4 separate regions of the Mus musculus genome follow, and all the other regions are reported to be linked to region 4. The links are microRNA targets in miRTarBase. Many come from high-throughput screens and were not tested one by one. Region 4 holds a microRNA gene; each other region holds the end of a gene's coding sequence.

Region 1 (4,140 bases), not on the chromosome of region 4:
GACAGCAGCATGGTTGCCCACAAATTAGTAGCGTCGGCTCGTGATGCGGGGTCAAGTGATAACATCACTGTTATTGTGGTATTCCTGAGGGACATGAACAAGGCTGTAAATGTTAGTGAGGAGTCAGAGTGGACAGAGAACTCTTTTCAAGGAGGGCAAGAAGATGGTGGGGATGATAAGGAGACTCATGGAGAGTGCAAGCGCCCTTGGCCACAGCACCAGTGCTCAGCACCCGCCGATCTAGGCTATGAGGGGCGAGTGGATTCATTCACTGATAGAACTAGCCTCAGCCCAGGGCCCCAAATCAACGTGCTGGAAGATCCAGACTACCTAGATCTCACACAAATAGAAGCAAGCAAACCTCACAGTACCCAATTTTTGCCACCAGTTGAGATGATTGGTCCTGGTGCACCAAAGAAAGATCTTAATGAGCTAATAATGGAGGAGAGATCAGTCAAGTCATCATTGCCTGAACGGAGTGGTGCTGGAGAGCCTCGGGTTTCTTTTAATTTGGGTTCAACAGGGCAACAGATATGCAGAATGGAGAACTTGTCTCCTGTCAGTTCTGGGTTGGAAAATGAACAGTTCAAATCCCGGGGGAAGACAGCGTCTAGGTTGTATCATTTACGCCACCACTACTCCAAAAGGCAGCGTGGATTCAGGTTTAATCCAAAGTTTTACTCGTTTCTGTCTGCTCGAGAGCCTTCTCACAAAATAGGCATTAGCCTCTCCTCACTTACTCGAAGTGGGAAGAGAAACAAGATGTTAAGAAGTTCTTTGCCATGGAGGGAAAATAGTTGGGAAGGATATAGTGGAAATGTGAAGATCAGAAAGCGTAATGATATTCCATGCCCAGACTTTCCCTGGAGCTATAAAATTTAAGACTTTTTCTTCAACATAGGCTAGCTAGTTCTCTCAGAAATATAACTATCAGAGTAGAAACAAGGTAGACATTTTTAACGTACATGTGCTTCATTATGAATCCACGGATGGCTCAACCCTTAAATGTACATAGATTGTTAGGAAATTCAAAATAGCATTTTCAATCTAATCAAAAGTATTGGCGGTTTCACTAGAGAAATTATTCAACTGGTCCCTGTGATGTGTCTCTATACCACAGACAGCCCCTCTCCACCATCCCTTCACGTCACTAGTGGAAGCTTGAAAGTTATTCGAGTCAGAATATATGGTATGGAAATCGCAACTATCTGGTCTGATGTGCCTACTCTAAAGGAAACAATGCAGAATTAAATTTTGTTGGGAAATGTCCCTCAAGATCTTGGGGACTATGGAGCATCTCTTCCCAATTGTGTGGGTAGGTGAAAGCCTAAAAGCCACACGGGCCTAAACTGCTGATGAGACGCAGTAAGCCGGTACCAAAGTGTCATGTTCTCAGACTTGGGAGGCAGGATACAGTAAGATCATTCACTTTTCATAGAAAATGAAAGGCAACTATGACATTTTTAATTAAAATACTTCATAAGGTTTTAGTTATTTGAACGTTTTATAACCTGTTATGGTGCTTTTGATGGGATTTTGTTACTTGGCATTTTAGGAGACCACCATCAGCTGGTTGTAACCTATGATGCTAATGTTTTTCACAGTACCTTCATCTCAGGAATAAAGTGGTTTAGCAGAGATGATGTGAGGTACAATATAAGAATCATGCCATTTAAAAAGAGTTGTGAAATAGCATTTCTATATTTTCTGCTTTTTTTTATGTTTACAGACAGCAAAGGCATATATTATTATAATATAAAACGTAGTTTGGAGAATGAAAAAAATGATAGTTTTAACTTCTCTAAAATTGTTTTCCCCAAGGGAATGAAGTAATTGGTATGAAGGAGGCTGAGTGTGAACCCAGAGGCCAAGTGCAAAGGAGAATGCAGATTACTGAGAGCCAGGGCTGTTTAGTTATAACTGGAAGACAAGCCAGAGTCCAGCTACTTGCTTCAGACTACAGTGACAGGTCATGTGCTTCTCATTTCAATACTTAAGTTATAGTTTATATAGTTTTAAATCCTTTCAATACTTAAGGTATATAGTTTTAAATCAACCACCTTCTGCCATTTCAAAGTTTCAAAGCATAAAGACAGCAAGTACGCGATCGTATCTGTTCAGTGAGGCAGCCTGGTTTCTCTCAGCCATGAATGCATCCATGTCCTCATGTTCCCCACCCTCACCCCCACCCTGGGCCAGTCAGGCCAACAGGCAAGAGTAGCTGCTAGAGCCATTGCTCCCAGTGCAGGCACTGCTAAATGTTCTTGCTGAGGCACTGCTGCTCCTATCCACGGTCTACGTAACACAATTCATGCTGCATTCTCCAGACCCACAGAGGGCTAAGATTCCCAAATTTCAAGACATAGATGACTAACATATATCATGGTTACATCAAGTTGTTAAAGAGACCAAAACTCAGCTTCTCTTCAGCAATGGTTACACTGTTAATCTATAGCTTTTATTTTTCAAAACTTGAGAGTAAGCGGAGATTCTCAGTGTTTTCTGTTGACCTTGGAGTCGGTCTACCCCTCTCCGACAGTACCTGTGATACACAGGTGGAGAGGAATACCCGCGGCTCCTCCTCAGCAGTGTTAATTTCATCCTCCTCTCTCTCATGCTCTGCCTACACATGGCCCTCACACATGGTTGTTGTTTTTTGAAGCCCAGGTCTTGTTGACAACCCATCAGGTACAGGGTCACTTTCAAACCAAAATTTCTAAGAAAACAAGGCAGCAGAACACAGATGAACATTCATATCCCAAAGTAGCTAAGATCATCTGTGGTTACCTGTTGGCAATGATTTTGATCAGAATGAGGAGAAAAGAAAAATTTTGAGGTGATATAGGCTTATCAGTGGGGTAAAAAAACTGGGTGGATGAAACCGGGACAAACAGACCCATTTGAAAGGTCTGGATTTTGTAGGTCTGACTACACAGCAGTGTTAACTCCATTTCTCATATCACTAGCTCTCTAGAAAATAGAGAAAAGTATTTCTAGTGTGGTCAAGTTAATAAACCAATAATGTAAAAACTAACTTCATTTGTTCACAATGTGCGTATTTATAAGGTAGTTAGGTACCATTTGTAAGGTAAGTCCTTTAACATTCTATAATATTAAAGTAGTGGTTATTGGCCTGATAAATGCTGCTGTTGGTTCTATAAACCAGACAAGAAGCAGTGCTTTGTGAAATGCAGTGTTAAATCTTAATGCCACTGGTGATAGGAAGTAGTTCCCTTCAGTTCAAATCCTCTGCCCTTATTTGCTGCTTGCTAATGTAAGCAATAAGTAACCCTCTAACTAACGGTATCTATACATTTCTGTAACTTATACTTAATGATGGTGTATCTGGTGATTGTACAATTATTAGACAGATATAAAAGTATCTATACAATATATATTAACTGTAAATGCTGAGGTATAGTCTGTGAATTATGTGTTTTGTACCTCTATTTCTTTGTGCAATTTAGTGGTGGTGAAAGTTCTACACTCGATCCTTAAAGAGTGGCAGTATCACTTTTTCAATTAACATGATCTGCATCAATTTGTTTGCTTGCTAAAACAGTTTTGTTAAAGTAGGAAATAGCAAAACAAATATAAACAAGAAAGTGTAGTATCTGATAGGAAAGTAGACAAGTCACCAACCGAGATTACTACTCCTTGTACATTCACTGTGAGTCTCAAAGGGCATCAGTCCCGAATTTCAAAGGTTTCTTTTTTTCACTTTTTGAGACATGTATATTGGGAAGGATAACTGAGATTGGCAACATTACAGCACCAAATACTGGGGCTATTAGTAATATTTATGTCTGTACAACAGAGGTCAGACAGAAAAACATGTATATACCTTTTCTTTACCTATAAGTGCCATCCATTGTCCTTGAAGTAATACAATTAAAGTCCATGTTGCATTTAACAGAAGGAGCCTTGAAAGGATCATCATTTCAAAGGACAATGTTAGTAATGTCAACACTAAGTCTAGTCCTGACCACAGTCGCCTGGTACAGCAGCACCGCTCCATTTCCATGACACCACACTCCATTGCTAGAACACTGTGCCAGTAAGAGGCCGGCATCCAAGGGGCAGATGGACATGATGCGTGACGCAGCTCAGGGTTGCGGACAAGTAAACTGCTGTGCTTCA
Region 2 (3,000 bases), not on the chromosome of region 4:
ATGGCTAAAACTACACCAACTGGTGGCCTGCCAAGGGACCCCCAAGAACTCATGGTTGACAACCCTTTGAATCAGCTCTCTACTTTAGCAGGACAGTTGTCCAGCTTGCCACCAGAAAACCAAAACCCTGCCTCTCCTGATGTAGATGCCTGCCCTGATGAAAAGCCTTTCATGATTCAGCAACCCTCTGCCCAAGCAGTTGTCTCTGCTGTGTCAGCAAGTATTCCTCAGAGCTCCTCCCCCACAAGTCCGGAACCGCGGCCATCGCATAGTCAGAGGAACTACAGTCCAGTGGCAGGGCCCAGCAGTGAACCAAGTGCCCACACCAGTACTCCCAGCATAGGAAACAGCCAGCCAAGCACTCCAGCTCCAACCCTGCCGGTGCAGGATCCTCAGCTTCTACACCACTGCCAGCACTGTGACGTGTACTTTGCAGACAACGTCCTTTACACTGTCCACATGGGGTGCCATGGGTATGACAGCCCCTTTCAGTGTAACGTATGTGGGTGCAAATGTAAAGACAAGTACGATTTTGCCTGTCATTTTGCAAGAGGGCAACACAACCAGCACTGAACACAATCAACATTGTTCTCACTTGGTTTGGCCTTTTGGGAGTTTGTAGTTTGGTTTTTAGTTTGATCATCCCTAATAAGGTATATGCTAATTTAAAATTTATACATTCTAGTCTATAAAATAGAAGTTTGATAGTGAAAAAGGGTTTTGTTAACTTTTCATAAAAGTCTGGTCAGGGTTATTTATGCATTAGATAGTTAGATGCATTGCTGTCTTTTTCATTTACACCTATGAGAGTTAAAGTACAGTTGTAATCAGTTTCCTACACTTGTCCATAAGGATTCCCAGGGTTATCTGTACTCCTGATGCTTCAGGATATACATTACAGCTAATGTTCTTTCTGCCATATGTCAAAATGGCACACTTCTCATAAAATCTTTTATAACATTTCAGTGTTTATAGACAAACTGCCTTTAAGTTTGCTCCTAATTAAAATACTATTTTCATTCACATAACTTAAGTTGAATTAGTTTCATTACAACCAAAACCAGTAGTTATTTCAGTGTAATAAATATTTCTCTTCAAGGAGAAGCATAAAACAGTTCTTTCAAATTTAAATTATAAAATGAAAATCTTGGAAGTTGAAATTTGGGGCTAAATTGAAAATTGTGTTTGGTATTTGAGATATCTGTTCATTTAATGTGTAAACATGTTAGTTTTTAGCTTTTCATTTATATATGTATTTATATATTTTGAGTATTATTTTAAAGCCACAGGTAAATATACTAGAGTGCTAGATGCCTTTTTTCAATCTGATCTTTCATGTAAATTCTGCATTCACCTGTTACTGGTGTCAGGTAAGATTGACAGCCACACTGATTATTTTATTCTTCCCAGTCTTTGATGACCAAAGAGGAAGTGAGCGCATCATCCCACTGAGATGCTTCCAGAGCCTCCGAGGCTCCTTTCCTGCCCTCTGTGCATAATTGCCCGTAATGTCCACGAAGGGTTGGTCTAGAAACCCAGAGACGTAATAAGTGAGGAAACAGCTACAAACCCAGAGCATGCCCAGACAGAGCCTCCTTGCCTCTCCAGAGCAGAGCAGGCCATGGAAAGTCCTCCCTGTGAGTCTTTATGGACAGAGACGGTGGGATCGTCACCACAGTGGGAAAGGATAAATAGAGTTATTATGAAGCACATTTAAATGTGTCATTTAACTTACTTAGAATTAGAGTGGTTCATTTTATATAGGAAGCCATTATTTTTGTATTGTGTAATAAGTAGCTTACTCTGAAGAGAGCCTGGCAAAACAATAAAACATTGTCACTTACTATTGGTTTCTGTGTACCTTGCAAATTTTTCATTTTTATTTGGTTAATAGCTTGAAAATATTCTCAATTGGCTTCTTAAAGAAATACCCTGTCAAGCATTTATTAACCAAAAAATAGCCTCTTACAGTAAATAAGAGGGAACTATGAGAGTGTCTACCCGTGAAGCCCCAAGTGCCCTGGTAATGGACCTGCTCTCCCTCCCTGTGCTGGAAAGCCATTCCGAGGGTGCCTGTGCGTACACAGCCAGTCTTGGCTCCTCCCAACTGCACTGTTAAAGCGCAGCCCCGAAGACACTTTCTAGTGATTTTGGTCTGTTGCTTAAATCATTTACTAGATTAGTTTTAGGGCAACACTTTCCAAATACATAACTTGACTGTTGTGCTTATCAGCTGCCAGAAAGAAACAGGTTATTGTTGGGAAACCTTGCTGTTTTTAAAGTTTGATTCAATTAAAAGCAATACTTCCAAATAGACAGTGAAAACTTCCCAAAAGAGGAAGAAGCCCAGTGTACTGCCGCACATCTGTAGTCCCAGCTGCTTGAAGCAGAGGCGGGAAGAGTGCTAGAGCCCAGGAGGTCCCTGCCAGGCCGGGCAACACTGCAAGACACAGTCTCAAAGGCCAAGCAGCCGAAAGGGCTCTCCTCACAGCCAGCTTTATCACCTCTACGTTCTGGGCCAAACAGTGACATGGGCATTTTGGTTTTCCTAACAACTAACGATGAATGTTCTGAAGGTACATTTCATTTTAAATACGGAAAAAACTTTTCATAATTACAGACAAGAAGGAAAAACCCCCGATTTTCCAATAATATAAAGAGCACAGTTGGTCTTCCAAAGGTGTCCATGTGTGAAGCTACAAGTACTTCGAAATGCACTAAAATTTTGAAGCAAATCTACCTTAGGAACTTTTTTGAAATTGTACTTTTAAAGGTTTAGGCTTTTGCTTAAATATTCTGAGTTAAATTCTGTACTAGGAAAGATGTTGGATTCTTTCCTTAAATACTAAATAAGTTCCTCATCTTATTTTTAATCAAATGTTTTATAGAAATGAGTTGAGAAAAGTTGACCATGCACTATTTATAGTACTTTGCCATAACAGGCAATGTTCTAAAACTAAATTTATTTTTGTTTAGTGAACATGAGTTTAGATTTTTAAA
Region 3 (4,140 bases), not on the chromosome of region 4:
CCTCCTCCTCCTCTTCTTCTTCTTCTTCTTCTTCTTCTTCTTCTTCTTCTTCTTCTTCTTCGAGACAGGGTTTCTCTGTATAGCCCTGGCTGTCCTGGAACTCACTCTGTAGACCAGGCTGGCCTTGAACTCAGAAATCCACCTGTCTCTGCCTCCCAAGTGCTGGGATTAAAGGCGTGCGCCACCACCACCACCGGCTTCTATGTTTATTCTTAATAATCCTGCATTCACTTCCTGTCAACTGGTTGCTTGCTCTGCCTCTTGACATATGGGTGACTTTATCTCTTTACAAAGTTCAGGCAGAGAGCTCCTGTGTTAAAGGTGTGTGCTAAGGCTGAGCCACACAATTAAAACAAGGTTTTTCAAATAAATACCATAATCTCAGGGTTCATAGTGTGATCAAATAATCTGTGCCACATCTGGAAGAGCCCAGAGTAGAGCGAAGTATACTAAACAGAAAGAACATGGTCAGCAGACTAGACATGGCCAGGGCTATCATGCAAGGGAGATAGAGAATAGAGAAAAGCATAGAAAGAAGAACAGAAGTGGAGCAGTGGTCCAGAAAAACGTCAGCTTTTATCTGACTGCCAGACATCCCAAACAATGAAGGTAAAGTTAGTTTGTAGAAGGAAGCACCCATCTCTGAAAATGTCTGAGTGGCAGAGTGACAAATCTGAGAAAGATTTGACAGAATAAGATATTCCCAACTCTCAAGAGGAGAGATAAGGAAAACTAGGAGAGCAGTGGAGAAAGAAAGAGGAAGGAGGTGGCTTTCTTTTTTCTTTTCCAGGCAGGGTTTCTTTGTGTTCTGGAACTCACTCTGTAGACCAGGCTGGCCTCGAACTCAGAAATCCACCTGCCTCCACCTCCCAAGTGCTGGGATTAAAGGTGTGTGCCACTACTGCCCGGCTGGAAGGAGTCAGTTTTATTGAGACAGTTAGTTGTACAGAGAGACTGGAGAGAGAACAGGCTAGCCACAGATGAAGACAGAATGAACCAGAGAATGAGGAGCCGCATCAGAACAGTTAGTTGAGGCCGAGCAGAGCAAATTCAGTCAGAAGCCCAGTCTGAATGAATTAGCTTGGGACCAGTTTGGAAAGAACTAGAAAGGGTGATCTTAGCATTAGGTCTCAGAGGTTGAAAATATTCTAGGCCTAGGTTAGTGTATGGAAGCTAGAAGCTTAGATTAGCAAGGATTATAAGGCATGGAGACAATTACTATAGAAGAATAAAAGGTATCTTTACAATGGGGGCAAGGTACTGATCTCTACAGAGGCATACTGTCTAATCAGAAAAAAATGAATGGGAGCAGTTCTGAGGGAGAGGAAACTGTGCACTTGGGGTTTGAGGTTTTATAGGCCAGGAAAGAGAAGTTTTAGATGAAAAGATTTTAGTCTATAGATCTAGGATCTATTTCCTCCAAATAAACCTTTTGATGGAGATCCTTATTATGTTGACATAATTATCAGCTCTCAAAGGAGGGCCTATTGAACTGCTGACCCTAGGGGTACCTGCTCCTGCTATTATCCGGTCAGCTCTAGCAAGTTCCTCAGGCTTCTGAGTTATTAACCCTTAAGGTCTCAGGGTTAAAATTTTATGTACAAACTCCCAAATCTTCATTGAGTAGATAGGTCAGGTCATAAATAATCCACTCAAGAAATGTCACTTAATACAATTTAATGAAGGAAAGCCTAAGTTCTTTCAATGGTTCAGGCTGTACTTCCAGATCAGACCGTGGTAGTTGAAAATCAGGCATGTGTGACATGAGCTGAGAGACCCATCTTGCCATCTATTCGTGAGTGTGTATGTTTAAATTTTAAGTCTTAGTGCTTCAGGCACTAAGTTTATCTGTGGGAATAGTTGTGTCTGAGACAATGGTCTTCCAAGACTTTTGAGATCTCATGTGCTCCTGTTTATGCAGTGGTGAAGATCAAACCCATGGCTAGGCAAGAGCGGCCTTTTCCAGTGGTTTGTTTACCTGTAGCCTAGGCTGGCCTGAGGCAATCTTCCTGTCTTTGCCTCTCTAGGGATGGATGGGATTCCAGCCTTTTTGTCCTTTCTCCAAGAAGTTATTTAATGGTTTTAGCAGACAGAGTTTATGTGTACAGTCCTGGCAGTCACTCTAGACCAGGCTGGCCTCAAACTCGAGATCTGCCTGCCTCAGTCAGAGTTCCCCTTTCAAGAAGGAATTTTAATAGTCCCATTATCACAGATAGACTCCTATTTCATCACTTGTAGGTCTTTACCATATGGTAGTTATACTATGTTAAGCTGGGTGTCCCTTACATGACCACCCACCACAAAGCACAGGGCTCTAGCCAACAGCCCTGAGATATCATTCAAGTCTGAGCTTCACAAAGTTGTTTTCCTGTGTGGCTTTTTTTTTTCTTTTTGAGATAAGACTGTAGACCAACCTGGCCTATAACTTTCAGCCATATACCTGTCTCTTAAGTGCTGGGATTAAAAGTGTGAGCTATGTTTTTTCCCCCTTTCTCATGTCTTAGTTCCTGCTGAACAATACTTCAAAAGGGATAATAAGCAAATAGCATACAATGGACTTGTTATAAGGCACTTTATTAGAGTAAAAGTGCTCACATCCCTTTAATACTTTAGTCTATTTCCTGATTAACATGGATTAACAAATACTGCACACCAATTGTGCCTTACAGTAGAAACAGTACTATTTTAATATGCTCCACTCACCCTCCCTTTACAGCTCGCTGTGGTATTGTCTATATTGTCTACACCTTATAATAGAGGCTATAAAAAGGCATTTATAACCAGTTTTTTAATTATAAAAACAAACAAACAACCTCCCAAACCAAACAGCAGGTAACTTAAATTAACACCAGTTTTGAGAAAACCATTTTTATTATCACTGCCCAGCTTGTGTGCAGGATTATGTACCAAATGGCCAGATCTTCTAAAGAACATCTACATAACATTTCTTTCATGTTTCAAGAGATGAAAATAACTGTACAAGGTTAAGTACAAAAGTACACAAGACAGCGGACACGAGAAAAATCTATGCATGAGATTTTATCCCACCCGAAGCTTTAATATATTTGAAAAGTAGAATTCATGAACTAAAAAATATTGTCCTTCTATAGTCCTGTCAAGTTTAATGGAAGTGGGTTGAACCTGATTACAACACTAACACCAGTATCACTGATCTGATATTTACAAAAAAATCGTATTTTTCAATAAATTAAAGTCAATGCAACACCCATGCAAGCTAGAATACTAGCTGTGTGGTGAACAAGGACCCAACATCAGAACAAGTCTATAAAGTCCCAAATTGATATTTTTTCAAACTGTATCCATTCCACGCATTGAAGATGTGAAACCCAAACCCATTCCTCTTTGTGTGTGGGTTTGTGATCTTGCCATTTCATACTGAGCATCAAGATTGCGAAAAACTTCTTCTTGTTGCTTTAAAGTCTTATAACTTTCTTCATCAACGGAGCTACAGCCAGCTTCATCTTCACTCTAAATACCAGACACAAAAGGTGTTAACTGTTAAACCATTATCAGGAGCACAGGTATGCTGTCTGAGTCGTGGTGCCCTTGAGACTGGACATGGACAGTTCTGAACTTTCATGTGGATGATGAGCATCAAACCTGTGGCCTCTGGAGCCCCCTCTCCAGCACCAGACATAAACTTTTTTTTTTTTTTGGGGGGGGGAGGGGGGGGTGTTGGAGACAGGGTTTCTCTGTGTAGCCCTGGATGTCCTGGAACTCACTCTGTAGACCAGGCTGGCCTCGAACTCAGGGATCAGCCTGCCTCTGTGTCCCAAGTGCTGGGAGTAAAGGCATACGCCACCACTGCCCGGCTCAGATATACACTATTAAAGATGATAGCTATTAAAACACTTGTAAGTACAAAGACATTATGGGAACATAGCACAATAGCTTATTGTAAGTAGTATGGTAAAGGATAGTGCACCTAAGACCGAGCACATATGTAACTGCCATAAGTAAAGTGAAGGAGGGATAGGCCTGTTTCAGGGACAAAAGTATTTTCTATTTTAAAATTGGGTTTAACAGAAAAGATTGCAAGCATTCTGGGAAGGAAGAGTGAAGGTGGGACCAGCCACTAGCAGATAGAAGTTACTCTTTGTTAAAGGCCCCACCAAATAA
Region 4 (4,140 bases):
ATCAGACCCTGCACTGAGTCATTCATACAGAATAGAAAACAAGGAACAATAGACCTAGGTCATTCTTTTGAACAGCAGTTGGTGAGTCTATAATAGTCAAGGATCTTAGTGTGTTTATTAGTCTCCTAAGAGAGTAGCACCTCTGTTCATTTTGTTTCCTGCTACATCCTCTATGACTAACAGAGCTGTATCAAATAGTGCATACCTGAATATTTGTGAAAGGAAGGAAAAGGAACAGGGGTGTGGACATATAGGGGCTCTGTCCTTTAAAGTGCAGGCGAAGTGCCACCCTTTGGATTCCTTGGACAGGACTTACTATTGAAAACAGCACTTGTGCTGAGGATTAATGTTCCTGATGAATCAGGTCAGATAATCCTCTCTGTGGGCACAAGTCTGTGAATCCTCTCCTCTGTATACACTGCATTTATATGGGACTGTGTTAAAATATGGAAGAATCCAAGTGGACAGTGTACATGAAGTCCCAGTCTACAGTCCACTCATGCAGGCATAATGGATGTGACACAGCTCACTCTCCCTGGACCATTTGCTCCCTGAACCACATGTGGTTCATACTCCTGTGGACCAAATCCCTAGTTGAGTACCTGCCATACTGAATAAATAGACAGGAAACAGTGGAAGGAGGCGTAAAGGTCCTACATGAAGATAACTCAATGTCTGAACCCTTGCCCAGGTATATTGCATTCGCAAAGCACACTCATCCAAGTAGCAAGTACTAGAAAGGCACAGCCTGCACCTATGCCCTTGGCATGTGGGTTCAACAAGAAGGCTTACTGTTCTTGCCCTGTGCATTCCTCCAAGAGTTGAACTAAAGAAGAATTTCTCTTCCAGGTGTCGGTATGAGAACTAGAATGAAAAGCTGCGCACTTATGTCAATACACAGTTTACTATGTGCCCCACTTGTTCTTGATACCTGTTAGGGTCATAAGTGGAAATAAAGTTCTACCTATAAAATCTAGGTGGGAAGAGGCCAAATTTGTCACATTTACTCTCCCATGCACCATGCCCGTTGTATTTGTAGAAGGAAAGAAGGTGGGGGGAGGCATAAAAGAAGTATGCAAGCAGCAAACAGATGAGATATGATGCACAGACCTCCTGTCCTTCTCCATGCAGATCAGGCTCACCTTCCCCAAATCCTTGCCCGGGTGCATTGCATACAAATAGCATTTTCACCCAGGGACAAAGGATTAGAGAGGATGAGCAGAGCAGAAGGCCCAGGCACCTGTACCATGTTTGTGTGGTTCTGTATATAATATTTAATTTTCCTTGTCCTGATTCAGCCAAGCATCACCACCTATACCCAAGCTTGACATCCCTGATTTATATATGTATCTGCCCCCTTCCCACCATGAGCATCCTCTCTCAGAGAAAACTTCTACGTATACAAAATGGTATCTCTCCCAGATCATACTTGAGAATTTGTGGGGGCCTGATTTATGTTTGGAAGGTAGCAAGAAGGCTGGGATCTGAGAATGCATATACATACTGAAAGAGGGCACAGTGGAGGAGGATACTCCATTCCTTTCCAATGCCTTTATACAATTCAAGCTTTGTGGAACAGGGGTTATCACTGGATGTAACAAACGGGTTGCCTGAGTAGCAGCACCTAATGTGTGCTCCTCATCACATGATCTGACACTTAGCAAACTGGGAATCAAGAAAGCTCATGCTGAGAATAGAAGCATGTCTACCAAACATGATAAAGACCATTTTGCTGTTAGAAAATGTGTAGAACCAAGTCTGACAGCTAAAACCAAAATCAAATGGTGGCCAGGAGGAGGGAAGGTGGCAGGTGAGATGTGCAAGTATGGGCCATTCTACACGCAGACAAGGCTCAGCCTCTTTGAATCCTTGAACAGGTGTGTTGCACTGAAGCAGCATTCACACCTAGGTTCCAAGGATTCGAGAGGGGGAGCAAGCAAGAAGGCTCAGGAACCTGCCCTTCCTGTGTGTGGTCAATATGCTTGTGTGCAACACACTAAAAGAGAACGAGAGATGCGCTCTGTCCTTTACAAACACAAAGGTCTGGCTCTCAGAATCCTTGCTGAAGAACACTCTCACCCAGGTAGCAAGGATCAGAGAACTGAAGCAGGGCAAAAGGCTCACAGCAAATGAACGCATGGGCTCACCTTTGACACAAGGTGCTTATCTGTGATGAGAAAGAAGACAATGTTCTTGAGCTTCACATTAAGTATGTCTAGGCACCTGAGTTCAACTCCCAGCCTCCACATAAAAGAGCCAAGCGTGAGGACTCAAAGAAAGCTAGATCCCTTGGCCTAACTGGTGAGTGCCAAGTCCCTATTAGAGACTGTTTCAAAAAACAGGGTAGATGTCCCCAAAGGGGAAGCACCTCAGGTTGACCTCTGCACCCTCCACACACATACACAGAAAGAGAGAGAGAGAGAGAGAGAGAGAGAGAGACAGAGTGACAGACAGACACAGAGACAAAGAGAGACAGAGACAGAGAGACAGACAGACAGACAGACAGACAGAGACAGAGAAACCTGTCTAAATATATACATTCATATTTTGTTCTGAGATTATAAAAATATAAAGCCAGAGATACAAAATACTGAAAGAAAAAAAGACAGAGAGACAGAGAGAAGAGGCCATAAGCTCACAAGATGGCAGTAGAGATTGGCATCCTTTAACACACATCAGCATCTTGTTAAAGTTACTTCAGATACCTGGAGGACTTGGTACTAAGATAACTTACAGAGGTTTCTCATTAGTGAGCTCAAGATTTTGTATTTCTAAAAGGGGCTGGGTGATGCTGGGGACCTTACCAGCATCATGGATAAGACAGAGAAACTGTGGAGTTTGGTATCTACAAACCCTGTTTCAAACCTATACTTCACCATGTACTGGATTAAAGAATCTACCTGCTTTCTCCAAGGTCATGGACTACTTCTAAAAAATGAGAATAACAAATGCTATCTCTTTAAAGAGTACCAAAAAAATTAGGTAAGATGCAAGCCTAGAGTAGGATGCAGGACCTGGCCCCTGGCTATTATTTTTACCTCTTACACTACCATTTTTGTACACATGTGTCTAAATGAATGTCCTGTTTACAATAGTATGGTCATACTCATATATGCAAAAGCCAGGTGAAGGAGGCATGAATATCAGTGACTCGGAGAATCTGTAAAAGGCAATGCAAGGACTGGCTCTCTGGTAATTCTTCTTCAATGTGCCTAAATCAACGAAGTTCACACCCCTTTCTGTGAGGGATATGAAAGACAAAATCACAAGTTTCAATCTTTCACTTTCCTACTATATGTCACAGAGAGTGAAGAGAGTCAGGAGTAAGGAGAGAGGGGAGAAGTAGAGAAGGGGGGAGAGCGAATATAAATGAATGACAGTAAGGCATTTTTCTCTATGAGAAAACAAGTGTATCAAACAAAAGAAACCTTCTATGCTCACGGGCCTATATATGATGTACACCTAGCTATAGATGGGCTTCATTCATATTTGTTCTCCTATCTACCCAGCTGATGCAAAAGCATATCTATGACTGTCTAGGTATGTGTTTACAAAAATGTCAGTGTTAACAAACAAGTATACCTTCCTATAACAGCTCCGTCAAAGATGAAAACCAAGAGAGCCCACTACCCTTCCTTAGAGGTGTAAGAGAACAAGGTTAGGGGAGCAGGACTCTGTTCCTGCTAAGCTGTCAGTGGGCCTCTGCATTTGAAGGTTGCCTATGTGTGCTGAGAACGTGATGAATCAGGTTTGACACTTAGAAAGTGGAGGCTAAAGTAAGGAAGTGCATCCTGCAGCTTCTCAGGCATGTATATGTGATCGTACACAGTGAGAATGATTTTCATCCTCCTGTATGCACATGCTACAAAGACTGGACTGCCCAACTTACCACTGGCTCCACATATCAGCACACTATCATACAATCAGAACTATAGTCACATACTACATGGTGTTTGGTAAGCCACAAACTACATATACAATAGTAGTCACATAACATTTCATCACCTAGTAATCCTTATTAGTTTAACTATACACTCCCATGGTGGTTTAATAAAAATTGCCCTCACAGGTTCATATACTGGAGTGCTTGGTCCCTAGTAGGTAAAGCTGTTTTGGGAAGGATTAGAAGGTGTGGTGTGG

Evidence for each region. Region 4 holds the annotated microRNA mmu-miR-362-5p (AAUCCUUGGAACCUAGGUGUGAAU, at 1,898-1,921, opposite strand). A microRNA usually pairs through its seed, bases 2 to 8, with sites in the 3' UTR of a target mRNA and lowers its output. Matches are read on the target gene's strand: a 7mer-m8 pairs with bases 2 to 8, a 7mer-A1 pairs with bases 2 to 7 and ends in A, and an 8mer does both.
Region 1: the mRNA of Ppm1e is a reported target of mmu-miR-362-5p. Seed matches in the 3' UTR shown: 7mer-A1 at 3,744-3,750.
Region 2: miRTarBase lists Ikzf5 as a target of mmu-miR-362-5p. Seed matches in the 3' UTR shown: 7mer-A1 at 1,684-1,690.
Region 3: the mRNA of Rsrc2 is a reported target of mmu-miR-362-5p. The part of its 3' UTR that is shown has no 7-base or 8-base seed match.

Annotation. Positions count from the first base shown.
Region 1 is chr11:87,227,622-87,231,761 of GRCm38, reverse strand. It overlaps Ppm1e (protein phosphatase 1E (PP2C domain containing)), which reads left to right. Exons shown (of 7, transcript NM_177167.4): 7 at 1-4,140. The coding sequence ends at 882. It also overlaps a transcript of Trim37 not described here. Among named protein-coding and RNA genes, the nearest start is that of Gm22883, 89 kb to the left of the region's middle.
Region 2 is chr7:131,389,210-131,392,209 of GRCm38, reverse strand. It overlaps Ikzf5 (IKAROS family zinc finger 5), which reads left to right. Exons shown (of 4, transcript NM_175115.4): 4 at 1-3,000. The coding sequence ends at 573. It also overlaps a transcript of Pstk not described here. Among named protein-coding and RNA genes, the nearest start is that of Pstk, 20 kb to the right of the region's middle.
Region 3 is chr5:123,725,868-123,730,007 of GRCm38, forward strand. Rsrc2 (arginine/serine-rich coiled-coil 2) reads right to left here. Exons shown (of 10, transcript NM_001005525.2): 10 at 2,559-3,489. The coding sequence ends at 3,310. Among named protein-coding and RNA genes, the nearest start is that of Zcchc8, 6.9 kb to the left of the region's middle.
Region 4 is chrX:7,240,122-7,244,261 of GRCm38, forward strand. It overlaps Mir362 (microRNA 362), which reads right to left and starts at 1,925; the gene lies at 1,861-1,925. The region is part of intron 2 of Clcn5 (chloride channel, voltage-sensitive 5); the gene reads right to left. Mir501 (microRNA 501) reads right to left here and starts at 1,230; the gene lies at 1,122-1,230.